Linked DNA regions of Arabidopsis thaliana. The protein of the gene in region 2 interacts with the protein of the main gene of each other region in a pairwise test. Each region holds a gene or a part of one and is shown on either strand. Other genes may lie near its edges.

Region 1 (5,049 bases), on a different chromosome or scaffold from region 2:
GGCTCGGGAGATCCTACCCTTACATTTGAGTATGATATATCTGCCTCTTAATCACAAACCCAACCTCGATCACAGATTTTCTTCATTTGCAATTGTTGACCCCTTTTATCTACAGGTTAAAAGAATTCATCAAGGAACAATTAATTACTATTCCAATGGGATCTCGAGCTCTAGTTCCAGCAGCAGGTCCAGCACCATCACCAGCAGTTCAACCGCCTAGCCCAGCGGCTTTAGCTGATGATCCAGGAGCTATGCTTGCTGGCTTACTTTAAATTCATTGGGATAAAAGATTACTTGCACATGTCGAAAAGTTTGTTTTCTGTTATTGTAGAATGTAATGGCGAAAATATGGAATGATGGGAGAGTAAATGTAGAGCCAAGGGAGAGAAAAAAGCTAGTTTTGATTATATTTGTGCCGTTTATCCAAAGCGGGCGGGTTGCGTTAGGTAAGAAATTTTGCATTCATTCTGAACATTTGTATTGTGAGGTCAGTGGTTGTATCAGCTTGTTCTTGTGCCTATATATTTTCAATCTGTTTCTCCATGAGTTTTCTGATGGGAGGTCTGTTTTTTCGCACCAGCCTTCACATTGAGAGATTTTAATGTTGTCATAAAGGGGGGAAATTGCAAAAACACATCCAACGCATAGCATTTCACCTGTAAAAACCTGATCTAATTTGAGGTGTGAATAGAGTGGGGACTTGGCCTTGGTGGGACATTCAACCGACATATATACAACCAGATTTTTACTATTACTTTGAAGAATATAATTGAAAGAAAATTTTTTTTTTACTATTTTTAATTTTCTTACAAACTGCTTATGGATTTAAAAGCTGTTTTATCAATTTTTGCATGATTTTTTTTTGTTTTTACTACATAATTTGTAATTGACAAAAGTATGATTTTTTTATATTACTATATCATTTGTAATTTTGCAAATAAAAAAAAATATAAGAACCCTAGATCCGGGGCTTGTGAAACAAGAGTGATTAAGCAAAATTTGAGTAAGTCTGACTTTTGCAAGTTTGCTTCACCAACATCAATGTCGCTCAAGTTGAAGAAGCAACTTCTCTTAAAGTATCGAATACCCTAAAATTTGTCATGCCTTGAAGAAAAACTCAACCGAGATATTGGAGCTGTTCGAAATACCTAAGAAATCAGCCGATGTTGCTAACGCAAAGGGACAATATCTTCCATAAAACTAAAAATGTTCAATAAGCAGGGCCGACCCAAATCTAAAGCCCAGCAAGCTGATGCTTTATCATCACAATCATATAAAAGCCTTGTAGTTTAATGGTTGGTGCTTCCATTAGTTATATAAGTTTACGAGTTCGATACTCAAACTGCCAAACAACAACATCCTAGGAGCATACGCTATCGCCGTCACTGCTTTTCTAGCTCAACAATTCGTCCTATTCATCGTCTTGTAGATTATGATCTTGTTATGAGACACATTTAGTATTTCAAAAACGAGAGTAGTGACAATACTTTCCTATTCACCAGAGTAATTTGGTTGCAATGATTCTAGCAAAATTGTTATCTGAAATATAGAGTATCTAAAATCTTTATTCAAAAGATTTCATAATACATTGAGTAAAATTATAAAATGCTCATAACAAAAAATAATCAAATCAGCACTGCGTATAAACCATTTGTTTCGTTCCCACTAATACCAACAAATACCATGTCTGACGAAAAAAAAAAAAAAAAAGTTGGGACCAGCTAAACCATTGCATGACCTGACCTGACCCGAATTCATAACCGGATTTTCTCATGGTACATTTTTTTTGTTAAGGATTTTCTCATGGTACATTGAATTACAACTGAATGCATTGACCGCGACAGAAAACAGTCATTTTAAAAATAAATGAAAAAGTGAAACCAGAAACAGCAGTAAATAAATATTACCCAAAAAGGCAGAAGGATACACTTTTTAACAAAATATTACGCAAACTTATAAATCCTCAAATTTAGTCCAAATGTCTAGACGCGTTAATTCTGTTTTTCGACGGGTCAATTTCGGATTCCAATTTCAAAACAGACAAAAACTGAATTACACAAAATTGAATAGTCAAAGTTGTAAATAAAGAAAAATAAAAGTCGTCTCTCGTCTCTCTCCCGCAGGCGTGTCTCTCTTCTCCAAAGATCAGTCTCTCCTTTTGAATTTCTTCGATTGAAGGTGCCATTTTCCGTTTCTAGATTGGGATTTCGATCTCACCTCTCTCGAATTGCTTATGCTTCAGCTTTAGTCTGTGGTTTATCTCGTAGTTAGATCCGGTGCCGCGAGTTTGGATCTGCGCCGTGTGAGGCGGCGGAGCACGGTGGATTTGAGGATTTGGTTCAACCATGACCGGAATGAGAGGTCTCTCCGTATTTATCAGCGACGTTCGTAATTGCCAGAACAAGGAAGCGGAGAGACTACGAGTTGATAAGGAGCTCGGAAACATTCGTACATGCTTCAAGAATGAGAAGGTTACTCTCAATTCTCTCCATTCTATTTTCTATGTTTTGATTCTCATTAGAGAGGTAATTCAGTGTCGAGTATCCGCTGAGGTTTTGGTTTATTAGAGATATTGGAGATTTATCCTTCGCAGTTGCAATGCCAATGCAATCGAATGTTAGAGCTATTAGGTTGATTAGGGAGTTAGATAAGAATGTAGATGAAACAAAGATACAGTCACTGGTCACATGCCGAGTGGATAGTTTTGGAGCTTGTAGTTTCTTACTTTATCGGATTGAGGCAATAAATTTTGATTTAACACCAATTGTGAAAATAGATAGGCAGTATAATGTTGCCGTTGTATAGCTAGCTCAAATCCTTGTAGATTAGCAATTATTCTACCTTTTGAAACATCACTACTATTGCTTTCAACTTGGAATTTCATTACTGAATATATGATGACATTTAGGAACTAGAAGAAAAGAATGGTCTGGCAGTAAATTCGGTTATGTAGTGATGGTCTAAGAAATTAAATCATGGTCACGGAAAATTTTGAATAGCTCATTACGAAGTAGATTAAGCTTTGTTGCTGTAAGAACTTCTGGAGTGAAATTCTTGTTCCATCTTACACGTAGCAGAGCTGTAGCAGGCCTGTAGTGGATCCATGTGTTTCCAGTTGGACCAACATTAAACTTATTCTTTTTCGGGGTTCATGTTAGAAATGAATTAATCAAGAACTCTTTGATTACTTGACATTCTGTTTTATTTTTGCAGGTTTTGACACCATATAAAAAGAAGAAATATGTCTGGAAAATGCTTTATATACATATGCTAGGCTACGATGTGGATTTTGGCCATATGGAGGCGGTTTCTCTTATATCTGCGCCAAAGTATCCAGAAAAGCAGGTAAACCAACGTTTTGTTTGCTCAAACAAAGAAATTTTTCTTTGTAAGGCTAGGAGAAGATAATAGATGGAGGTGTTTGCTGAAATATATTCTATTGATCAAGCTGAAACAAAGAAAGTTTCATTGAAGATCACACAGTTAGATCTAGATACCATTTCATGCGTTTGCAACTTGACTTGACCTGGGAAAGTATTGCAGACAATTACTTATAAGCACGAGTTACTTAGTAACATCTTAGAAACTCTTAACCAGAACCATGCATTGTATCTCAAGGGTTTGTATTTCCAATTTATATTGTTTCATGCTCCTTAACTAATTTGCAGGTATTGAACTTTTCATCCATGATTACAGGTTGGCTACATTGTTACATCTTGCTTGCTCAATGAGAACCATGACTTTTTGAAGTTGGCAATAAATACAGTGCGGAACGATATTATTGGTCGGAATGAGACTTTCCAGTGCCTAGCACTGACCTTGGTATGTGGTCTTTTGTCCACCCTGTATTGAGATTTTAGAGCATAGTTAGGTTCTTCTGATTATAAGATGTTGTTAAATGACTGTTTTAATGGAAGTCTTTGGTACATTATGTCTTTTGTGCTCTATCATTTCACGATTCAGAGCCACTTACTTCATGAAACTGGTCCTTTCTTTCTAGCTTTCTTACCTTGCCATGCTTACGTTCTCCTGTAGGTTGGAAATATCGGTGGAAGGGATTTTGCTGAATCATTGGCACCTGATGTTCAAAAGCTACTTGTAAGTGACTCCTAAAGATGAGAGGTTATATTTTTTTCCAATATTACTAAACATATTATGTTATGGGGTCTCTTTGCTGCAGATTTCTAGTAGTTGCAGACCTCTTGTAAGGAAAAAAGCAGCACTGTGCCTACTGCGCTTATTCCGAAAAAATCCTGATGCTGTCAACGTGGATGGCTGGTGTGTATAACACTGTGGGGTTACTGGTTCTTTGATTTTACTAGTGCATCTTTCATATTCTCTTTGTCGTATACTTCCAGGGCGGATCGTATGGCACAACTTTTGGATGAACGAGATCTTGGTGTCTTGACGTCTTCTACGAGTCTTCTTGTAGCTCTGGTATCTAATAATCATGAGGCGTACTCAAGTTGTCTACCTAAATGTGTCAAAATATTAGAACGCCTTGCTAGGAACCAAGATGTTCCTCAGGAGTACACATACTATGGCATCCCATCTCCTTGGCTCCAGGTTTGACTTAACTCGGCTTATTCACTCTTGTTTAATAGCTTAAATATTCTTTAATCGCATCCTTTTCACAAATCCTGTGCATTTTAAACATTTTATGTGAAATTAGCTTATGAAAATAGAGGCTTGGCCCAGCTTTGGTGTATTTTTGTTACTCAGTTAAAGATATCGTGGATACTTATATATCTTTGGTTAGTACAGGTTAAGGCAATGAGGGCTCTTCAATATTTCCCGACCATTGAAGATCCCAGTACCAGAAAAGCTCTGTTTGAGGTTCAATATTTTCATGTGTAAATCTGTAATATATGTCTTTGAATTTCCTCTCATGGCATGGCATTTCATGGAAATTTCAGGTCCTTCAGCGAATATTGATGGGGACAGATGTTGTGAAAAATGTGAATAAAAACAATGCGTCTCATGCTGTGCTGTTTGAAGCTCTATCCCTGGTAAGTTCGTCGGATAGCTGGGGAAATGTTGATACCATGA
Region 2 (8,307 bases):
AAGAGAAATTAGAACACGTACCCGTTAGAGTCTCATGTCCTTGTTCGTTGGGTTTGATGTTGGCTTCATCACTTTTTCCAGCGTTCAAGAGCTTGAGTACACCACGCCACTGCTCATCTGTAAGACCATTCACCGCATCTCGATCTCTATCAGTGATAACTCGATTAGCCCGTTCCACAGTGGTTAAGCCAGTTGTGACAGCATTCACATAAGAGGTTGGAGTGCGATTTTGTCCTCCATTAAAGCCTAGACCGGGTTTGCCTCTGCCTCGACCAGATTGTCCTCGCGGTCTATCGCCCCACCACTCTGGGTATCCAATGATCACAAAGCAGTTCTCCGGCGAGTGACCGCCACGATTGCAGTGCTTACAAACGTTCTTGTTGGGGAACTTTGCAGAACTAGGATCAATCTGTGGACGAGACTGAGTAGCAAAAGCAGTGACATCTAGCTTTTCTTCCTTAGAGTATCTATTGCTCAACATGTCCTCTTCTTGTCTCACAATGTTGTAGACTTCTTCGAGTCCAGGAAGAGGAACACGTGATGTTAAGCTAGACCGAATTGTATGAAATTGAGTTTCATCAAGTCCATACAGAAATTGTTGAACCATGTCATCTTCTCTACCTTTCTCCTGCTCAGCTTCAAGATTACACACACATCTTCCACATTTGCAGGTTCGAAGAGGACGATAGTTGTTGATATTATCCCAAATCTTGTTGAGTTTTCCATAATATCCTTCAACAGTCATACCCTCTTGTTTACAAGTAGCAAGATCTGCCTTCATCTTCTGATTCTTTGGACCACTAGAAACAGAGAAGCGTTTACGAGTGTGTTCCCAAAGATCTCTAGCCACGTCACGGTGGGAGATATTCGTCAAGAGCGCCGGGTCAATCGTCATCTTCATCCAAGACACTAGCAAAGCATTAATCGTTAACCAGTCCTCGAGGTCCAGAGATTCTGACGGCGGTTGTGGAATGGAGCCGTCAAGAAAACCAAACTTCTTCCGTGAGCGCAGTGCTGTTTTGAAGCCACATGCCCATTCATCATAATTAGTCGACTTCAAGATCGGGTGGGAGATCACAGCTCCAGAGTTATCAGCGACCGTTAAGTCATACGGCGAGATCGTTCGCCGGACTTCAGTTACAAGAGGAATTACCGGAGGAGCAGCCATTACTCCAAAAGAAACTCAAACTTTATCGATTTCAAATGAAAAACCCCAGCTTTAGCTCTGATACCATGACAAAATCAAGAGACAAGAGATAAAGATAAGGTTTTGTCTTGATAGCAGCTTAAGTGTTTCTCAGACACTTATACAAAGAGAAAGCGTTTCAGACCTAAAGGGACAAGAAGGGAAAAGACCAAAAGGGGTTACAAACAGTACATAAAGCAACATTAAGCTTAAGAGCAACTAATTGATGTGCTCTAAATAAGATAAGTAGCAATATCTTCAACAGAGAGATCTTTGCTTCGTTTTGTTAATCTTTTTGTTGGGTTTGATTTGGTCTTTGGTTAGTTGCAGAGTGGGAATAAGCTCCGCGTGTTTTGGTGTCAACTTGTTGTCCTAGTTTTTAGTTTTGTTTCAGTTAGTTCCTGCAATTTCTCTTTCACGTATTTGTAAGAAGACTGAGTCTTCATCTTTAGGCTATTTAAAGCCAAACAACTATGATAATAAAACATCGAAGCATTCAGTTTTAGTCTCTTTGTTCTCTCAGATCAACACTTTTGTATGTTTATGTAGCAAATATGTCATAGAGATTTGAAGATTGAGAAAACACTGCTTGATGGTAGTCTTGCACCGCTTTTGAAAATCTGTGATTACTTGGCTTTGATCTCATAGGTCATTCATTCATTAGTCTCTTTTTCTTCTTTTGTTTCAGTTTTGGTTCCCATTATTACTTGGCTTTGATCTCATAAGTTTTTTTTTTAAGGAAACCCATTTAAGGATTCTACCTTTGGAGAAGAGAATTTATAAAAACTTGACAAAAACTCTAACCTTCAAAATTATTAATATTTGTTATTAAGAAATTTAAAGGATTCCTTATAAAAAACCCACCAATGGATTTGCTTTAAGATCCATTAAGATACTTATTGGAACCTGGAACCAAATCAAAACTCTTTTTTTTTTTTTTGGTTCGGTTCGGTTCAGTTCCAGTTTTATGGCAAAACCTAAGTTTAGGGGTAAATTGGAAAATATTCAAAAGTTTTAGCCAAATATCAAAGTTTTTACTAATTATCAAAAGACACACTCGAGAAATTCATAAATGGGCTAACTTTTATCAGAGAGCCCACTAAACAATCGGCCCGTTAGCCAAGAAAATCGTCACCGGCGTCTTCCATTCCAACATTTCTCCGTCATCGTCTCTCTCTCTCTTTTTTTTTTGTGTGTGCAAAACGTCTCTCTCTCTGTCTCATAAAATCTCAGAGAAGAAACATCGTCGGGTCAGGTCGAAGAAAGGAGAGAAATGAGTGGTCACGATTCGAAATACTTCTCCACGACGAAGAAGGGAGAGATCCCTGAGCTCAAGGAAGAGCTTAATTCCCAGTATAAGGTTTTTTTTTTCTTCTTAATCTTACTCTTGTCTCATTCCATGTGGATCTGTGATCCGCCATTATTACATTCACGATCTCTCGGTCGATGATCCTTCTCTCCTTGTAATTTAGTTATCCTTATACAAATTTTGGTAGATCTGTGTAGTTCTGGATTTTGAATTTTGAATTGAAATTGGTTTCGTGATTTTGTGGGAAGTGCGATGATTCCGTTCATTTTTCAGTAACTGATTGGGATATAGGTTAGAATTGGAGAGGAATTGGTAGGTTTTTGAGAATGGCTAATGTGGAGATGTGTGTGCAATCTCGTAGTAACTTTAGTGAAGCTTAGGTTGGTGAATCAGAACTTGTTCGATCTGGATCAGTGGATTTGGATGAAGAGTTTATGTTAATGATTTAAGAAGGAATGGTTCTTTTCTGCTTTGGCTACAGTTTTGTTAACCCTTGTTGTTTATTTACTGTTGCATAGGATAAGAGAAAAGATGCAGTTAAGAAGGTTATTGCGGCGATGACTGTTGGAAAGGATGTTTCATCACTTTTCACTGATGTAGTCAATTGTATGCAAACGGAAAATTTGGAGTTGAAGAAGCTTGTTTACTTGTATCTCATAAATTATGCGAAAAGCCAGCCAGATCTTGCTATTCTTGCAGTAAATACCTTTGTAAAGGTAACACTCAAGCAACTCAAACAAAACCACGTGGCATTCCTTTGTTCTGTTCTGAACCTGAAGGGGAAAGGAACTGATAAACTGATCATTACAAAATCATTGGTTTGTATTCTGCAGGATTCACAGGATCCAAATCCGCTGATTCGTGCTTTGGCTGTGCGGACAATGGGCTGCATTCGTGTTGATAAAATCACAGAATATCTATGTGATCCTCTTCAAAAGTGCCTAAAGGTTTGAGTTTCTAATGTTACATCTTCATTGGAATCTGATATCAAACATCTTTATTGCCCTTAAGAACCTGTTTCATCTTGACTAGTCCATCTTTTCACTATCCTGTGTATATTTTTTGTGTTTAGGATGATGACCCATATGTCAGGAAGACTGCGGCTATTTGCGTCGCTAAGCTTTTCGACATAAATGCTGAATTAGTTGAGGACAGAGGTTTCCTTGAAGCCTTGAAGGATTTGATATCAGATAACAATCCAATGGTTGTTGCCAATGCTGTAGCAGCCCTTGCGGAGATTCAAGAGAACAGTAGTAGCCCCATCTTTGAGATCAATAGTACCACTCTTACAAAGCTCCTTACTGCTCTAAATGAATGCACTGAGTAAGTCCTCTCCATTTCCGTAGTTTCACTGCATTCTGTTCGATTTTGAGTATTTATGGCCCCATTGTCCAGTCAGGGTTTAGGGGATGTTGATGGTTGTGAAATAGCTTGTTTGATGTGGTATGGCCTCTGTTTGGATATCATTCCGTTGTCTTTGTAACTATTTTCAAACAGCAGTTTAGAATTTTTCGTCATTGATGGTTTTATCTGTAGATAATGACCCAGTATATAAACTTTGGGGAAGAGAAGCATAAAATGAGTAATGGATAAGCTTTTGGTAGCTTCATTTTTAGTACTGACCATGATCATCGCAGGTGGGGTCAAGTTTTTATACTAGATGCTTTATCGAAGTATAAAGCAGCTGATCCCCGTGAGGCTGAAAATATTGTTGAGAGAGTAACACCAAGGTTGCAACATGCCAACTGCGCTGTTGTTCTTTCAGCTGTTAAGGTGAGCGACTTTCATTGATTGTTATCCTCTCTACTTCTAGTTGGTAGCTCGTCAAACTTGATTGTAAAACATCAGGCATCATCAAATGCCTTTGCATATTTTCCTATTGCGTTCTCACTTCTGTTTCATATTTGGTAATTGCCTGACAGATGATCCTTCAACAAATGGAACTTATTACTAGTACAGACGTGATTAGAAATCTTTGTAAGAAGATGGCTCCACCCCTTGTTACATTGCTTTCTGCCGAACCTGAGATACAATATGTTGCACTTCGTAACATTAATCTTATTGTGCAAAAACGACCCACTATCCTTGCCCATGAAATTAAGGTAGCATGACCTGTGTCTCATAGTTCCTCAGAATAAACAACTGATGTATCCGTGCATTTATTGATTATGTTGAAAGTGATATTCTTTTTGTTTTAGGTTTTCTTCTGCAAGTATAACGACCCAATTTATGTTAAGATGGAGAAGTTGGAGATTATGATTAAACTTGCCTCTGACAGAAACATAGACCAGGTATCCTCACTGAGCTCTACCATCTGCTGTGTGTCTTGATTATTATTGGTGCATATCTTTATGATTTTTGAAAATTGCTACTCTAGGTTCTTCTGGAATTCAAAGAGTATGCCACAGAAGTAGACGTTGATTTTGTTAGAAAGGCTGTTCGTGCGATAGGCCGATGTGCTATCAAACTAGAGAGAGCAGCTGAACGGTGCATCAGTGTTTTGCTCGAGTTGATCAAGATTAAAGTGAATTATGTTGTCCAGGAGGCCATTATTGTCATCAAAGATATCTTCAGAAGATATCCAAACACGTAAGTTGACATTTCTCAATCACTGTTGAAATGGCATCTTAAAACTCTTCTTTGATTTTGGTTATGCTATTCAAATATTTCATACAGGTATGAGTCCATAATTGCAACACTCTGTGAGAGTTTAGACACTTTGGATGAACCAGAAGCTAAGGTATTGAACTTTTTTGATTTTGGTTTGGAAAATTGAAATTTACCATCTTCATTTAATCTTAAATCACTGAATTCGGTATCTTTTGGTAACTTGAAAGGCATCTATGATATGGATCATTGGTGAATATGCTGAAAGAATTGACAATGCCGATGAGCTTCTTGAAAGCTTTCTGGAGAATTTTCCTGAGGAACCAGCACAGGTCCAGTTGCAGCTCCTAACTGCTACTGTTAAGCTATTCCTGAAGAAGCCAACTGAAGGCCCTCAACAAATGATTCAGGTTCGGCTTTTTCCTTGCTCACCACTGTTTTTATGATCGATTCATGAGCATGTATGTAATGACAGGCATGTTTTCCGTTATGCTTGATGTTTTCAGGTTGTCTTGAATAATGCTACTGTGGAGACGGATAATCCTGATCTCAGAGATCGTGCATACATATACTGGCGTCTTCTATCCACTGATCCTGAGGTGTGTGTTACCTTGATTTCTTATAGCTTTCTAGTAATCAACCAGTAGAGAATGAATATATTCAGGATTGGTTATTCAAGCAACAAGCAATTTTTATCAGTTGAGCTTTCTCTTGAGATGTATTTGGCTGAACTCATCATTTCTCTTGATTAGGCTGCCAAGGATGTTGTCTTAGCTGAAAAGCCCGTGATTTCTGACGACTCAAACCAGCTAGACCCATCACTTCTTGATGAGCTTCTTACAAATATTTCGACCTTGTCCTCTGTGTACCACAAACCCCCAGAGGCTTTTGTTACCCGCTTGAAAACGACAGTTCAGAAAACAGAAGACGAGGACTTTGCGGAAGGAAGCGAAGCAGGATACTCATCTAGTAATCCGGTTGATAGTGCAGCTTCTCCTCCAGGTAATATCCCACAGCCTTCCGGAAGACAACCAGCACCAGCGGTCCCAGCTCCTGTACCTGATCTGCTAGGTGACCTGATGGGATTGGATAATGCCGCTATTGTCCCGGTTGATGATCCCATAACTCAATCTGGGTGAGTTATGTCTTGATTAATGAAACTTTCTATTGTTGGGACTAGTTTATTACGTTAGGTCAATTTCGGTTGCCTAGTTCATACTGAAACTCATCAAATCTTATGAACTTGATCGTAGTCCTCCTCTGCCCGTTGTCGTCCCAGCTTCAAGTGGTCAAGGTCTGCAGATAAGCGCTCAATTATCCCGAAAAGATGGACAAGTATTTTACAGTATGCTCTTCGAGAACAACTCGCAGTCGGTTCTTGATGGTTTCATGATTCAGTTCAACAAAAACACATTCGGCCTTGCAGCTGCTGGATCTCTTCAGGTAACTCTATCTGAATCTAATTAACGTCTGAAACTCAGGTCTGAATCATTGAAACCAATATCCATGTCTGTACTGTTTCAGATTCCGCCTTTGCATCCCGCAACATCCGCCAGGACAATGCTACCTATGGTCTTGTTCCAAAACATGTCTGCTGGGCCTCCAAGCTCGCTCTTACAAGTCGCTGTCAAAAACAACCAGCAGCCCGTGTGGTACTTCACCGATAAGATTATACTTCATGCTCTTTTCGGTGAAGACGGTAGAATGGAACGTGGAACCTTCCTTGAGGTAACATACTTCAAAACTTGAGCTGTTCATATCGGTTCTGGTTTAGGAAAATAGTGACGACTGTGAAACCAAATCGGTTAGAGATAAATTTATACGGTTTGGGTTTTCATTTGGATATATCTTTATGTTTTCAAAGATTTTAAGTTTTTGTTTGCTTTTTAATCAGACATGGAGGTCGTTACCGGACTCAAATGAAGTCCTGAAAGAATTCCCCGGGATCACCATCACGAGCGTCGAATCAACTATCGAATTGCTCACAGCATTCAACATGTTCTTTATAGCAAAGCGCAAGAACGGGAACCAAGACGTGATCTACTTATCAGCCAAAGATCCACGAGATGTACCGTTTTTGATCGAGCTCACTGCAATGGTGGGCCAACCAGGTCTCAAATGCGCAGTGAAAACTCCCACTCCCGAGATTGCGCCTCTCTTCTTCGAAGCTTTGGAGCTTCTCTTCAAGGCTTGATGATTAACGTTGTTATCAAAAGGCTAATAAGACCAAGACCTGAAAGGTTTCAGAGATTCTTTCTTGTTTCGTTATATCCCACCTTTTTTCTTCTTCTGAGTTTAGTGTATGTAATAAATCCCATGTTTGTGTTACTTCCGGTTGCACCCTTTTAGTTTGGTATTTGTAATGCTCACTATTTTCTTATAATTCTTGTATCGGAACCACATTTTTTTTCTTTCGATATTTAATCCGGGAAATGCTGGTTTCTGAACTAATAAGGAAGATCAAACACCATCAAAGGACCAGATCACCATGGAAAATCAGTGATCTAGCTACATTGGAGCCGTTGATGATGCTAGTGATGGACAATGCCAAAACTTTCAAACATTTCTTTTAGGTGATAGGTACACTTGGGGCTAGAGACCAAAGACGGTTATTCTTGTATTTTAAAATCAGAATTGCTATCAGAAGCATGTGTTTTGTCATGCAGTGTGCAATTTGGAGTTTCTTTCAGGATATGCTAGCCACACTAAGTTTGCATCAGAGTGAAACATAGTAGTATCCTTTTAGAAAGTAAGGCATCGGCTCTTAAGTTAAACACAATTTGGATAGACATATGTGGACATGCAAAAGTTATCGTGGGAGGAGTGTTGGGAAACATATCTCCACCTATATCGTTTGGTCCAGGTACTATAGTTTTGAAGAAGATTATAAGAACAAAGATAAAAGAATAACTCTCTTTTCTTAACTCCATTCACTAATTGTACTAGAATGACAAGCAAAGCAAGTATAAAAAGAGGTTTCCACTATTAAAAAAAAAGAGATATTTTTTTTCACCTTCACTTGTAAAAGTGAACAGAGATTTGAGCATCATTGTATTGAGAAAGGAGTTGCATCAATCATAGACAAAATCAAAACAGAGGTAAGACAGCTAATGCAAAAGCTGATACTTGCTTAAGCTGTTAGACCAACTGTGACACTGGAATTAATCTACTGTGAACGTGGAAGTGGACACTGATGAACATCAAC

The links.
Region 1: the proteins of AT4G11380 (region 2) and alpha-ADR interact in a protein complementation assay, tested with the Arabidopsis thaliana proteins (one study listed by BioGRID).

The regions. Positions count from the first base shown.
Region 1 is NC_003076.8:7,585,323-7,590,371, reverse strand, and holds the start of alpha-ADR (alpha-adaptin), read left to right. Parts: upstream 1-2,049; 5' UTR 2,050-2,345; coding exon 2,346-2,471; intron 2,472-3,213; coding exon 3,214-3,345; intron 3,346-3,696; coding exon 3,697-3,822; intron 3,823-4,035; coding exon 4,036-4,098; intron 4,099-4,180; coding exon 4,181-4,278; intron 4,279-4,358; coding exon 4,359-4,566; intron 4,567-4,764; coding exon 4,765-4,836; intron 4,837-4,916; coding exon 4,917-5,009; intron 5,010-5,049. Other genes in the region: AT5G22780 (Adaptor protein complex AP-2, alpha subunit), read left to right, coding at 1-29, 116-272; AT5G22785 (uncharacterized protein), read right to left, coding at 528-656, 667-729. UniProt on the Arabidopsis thaliana protein: Subunit of the adaptor protein complex 2 (AP-2). Adaptor protein complexes function in protein transport via transport vesicles in different membrane traffic pathways.
Region 2 is NC_003075.7:6,918,149-6,926,455, forward strand, and holds AT4G11380 (Adaptin family protein), read left to right. Parts: upstream 1-2,340; 5' UTR 2,341-2,459; coding exon 2,460-2,546; intron 2,547-2,743; coding exon 2,744-2,786; intron 2,787-2,856; coding exon 2,857-2,879; intron 2,880-3,013; coding exon 3,014-3,211; intron 3,212-3,328; coding exon 3,329-3,442; intron 3,443-3,567; coding exon 3,568-3,818; intron 3,819-4,132; coding exon 4,133-4,268; intron 4,269-4,417; coding exon 4,418-4,597; intron 4,598-4,693; coding exon 4,694-4,786; intron 4,787-4,872; coding exon 4,873-5,084; intron 5,085-5,171; coding exon 5,172-5,235; intron 5,236-5,332; coding exon 5,333-5,512; intron 5,513-5,608; coding exon 5,609-5,701; intron 5,702-5,854; coding exon 5,855-6,237; intron 6,238-6,355; coding exon 6,356-6,545; intron 6,546-6,626; coding exon 6,627-6,830; intron 6,831-6,996; coding exon 6,997-7,296; 3' UTR 7,297-7,428; downstream 7,429-8,307. Other genes in the region: AT4G11373 (Serine/Threonine kinase catalytic domain protein), read left to right, coding at 1,511-1,615.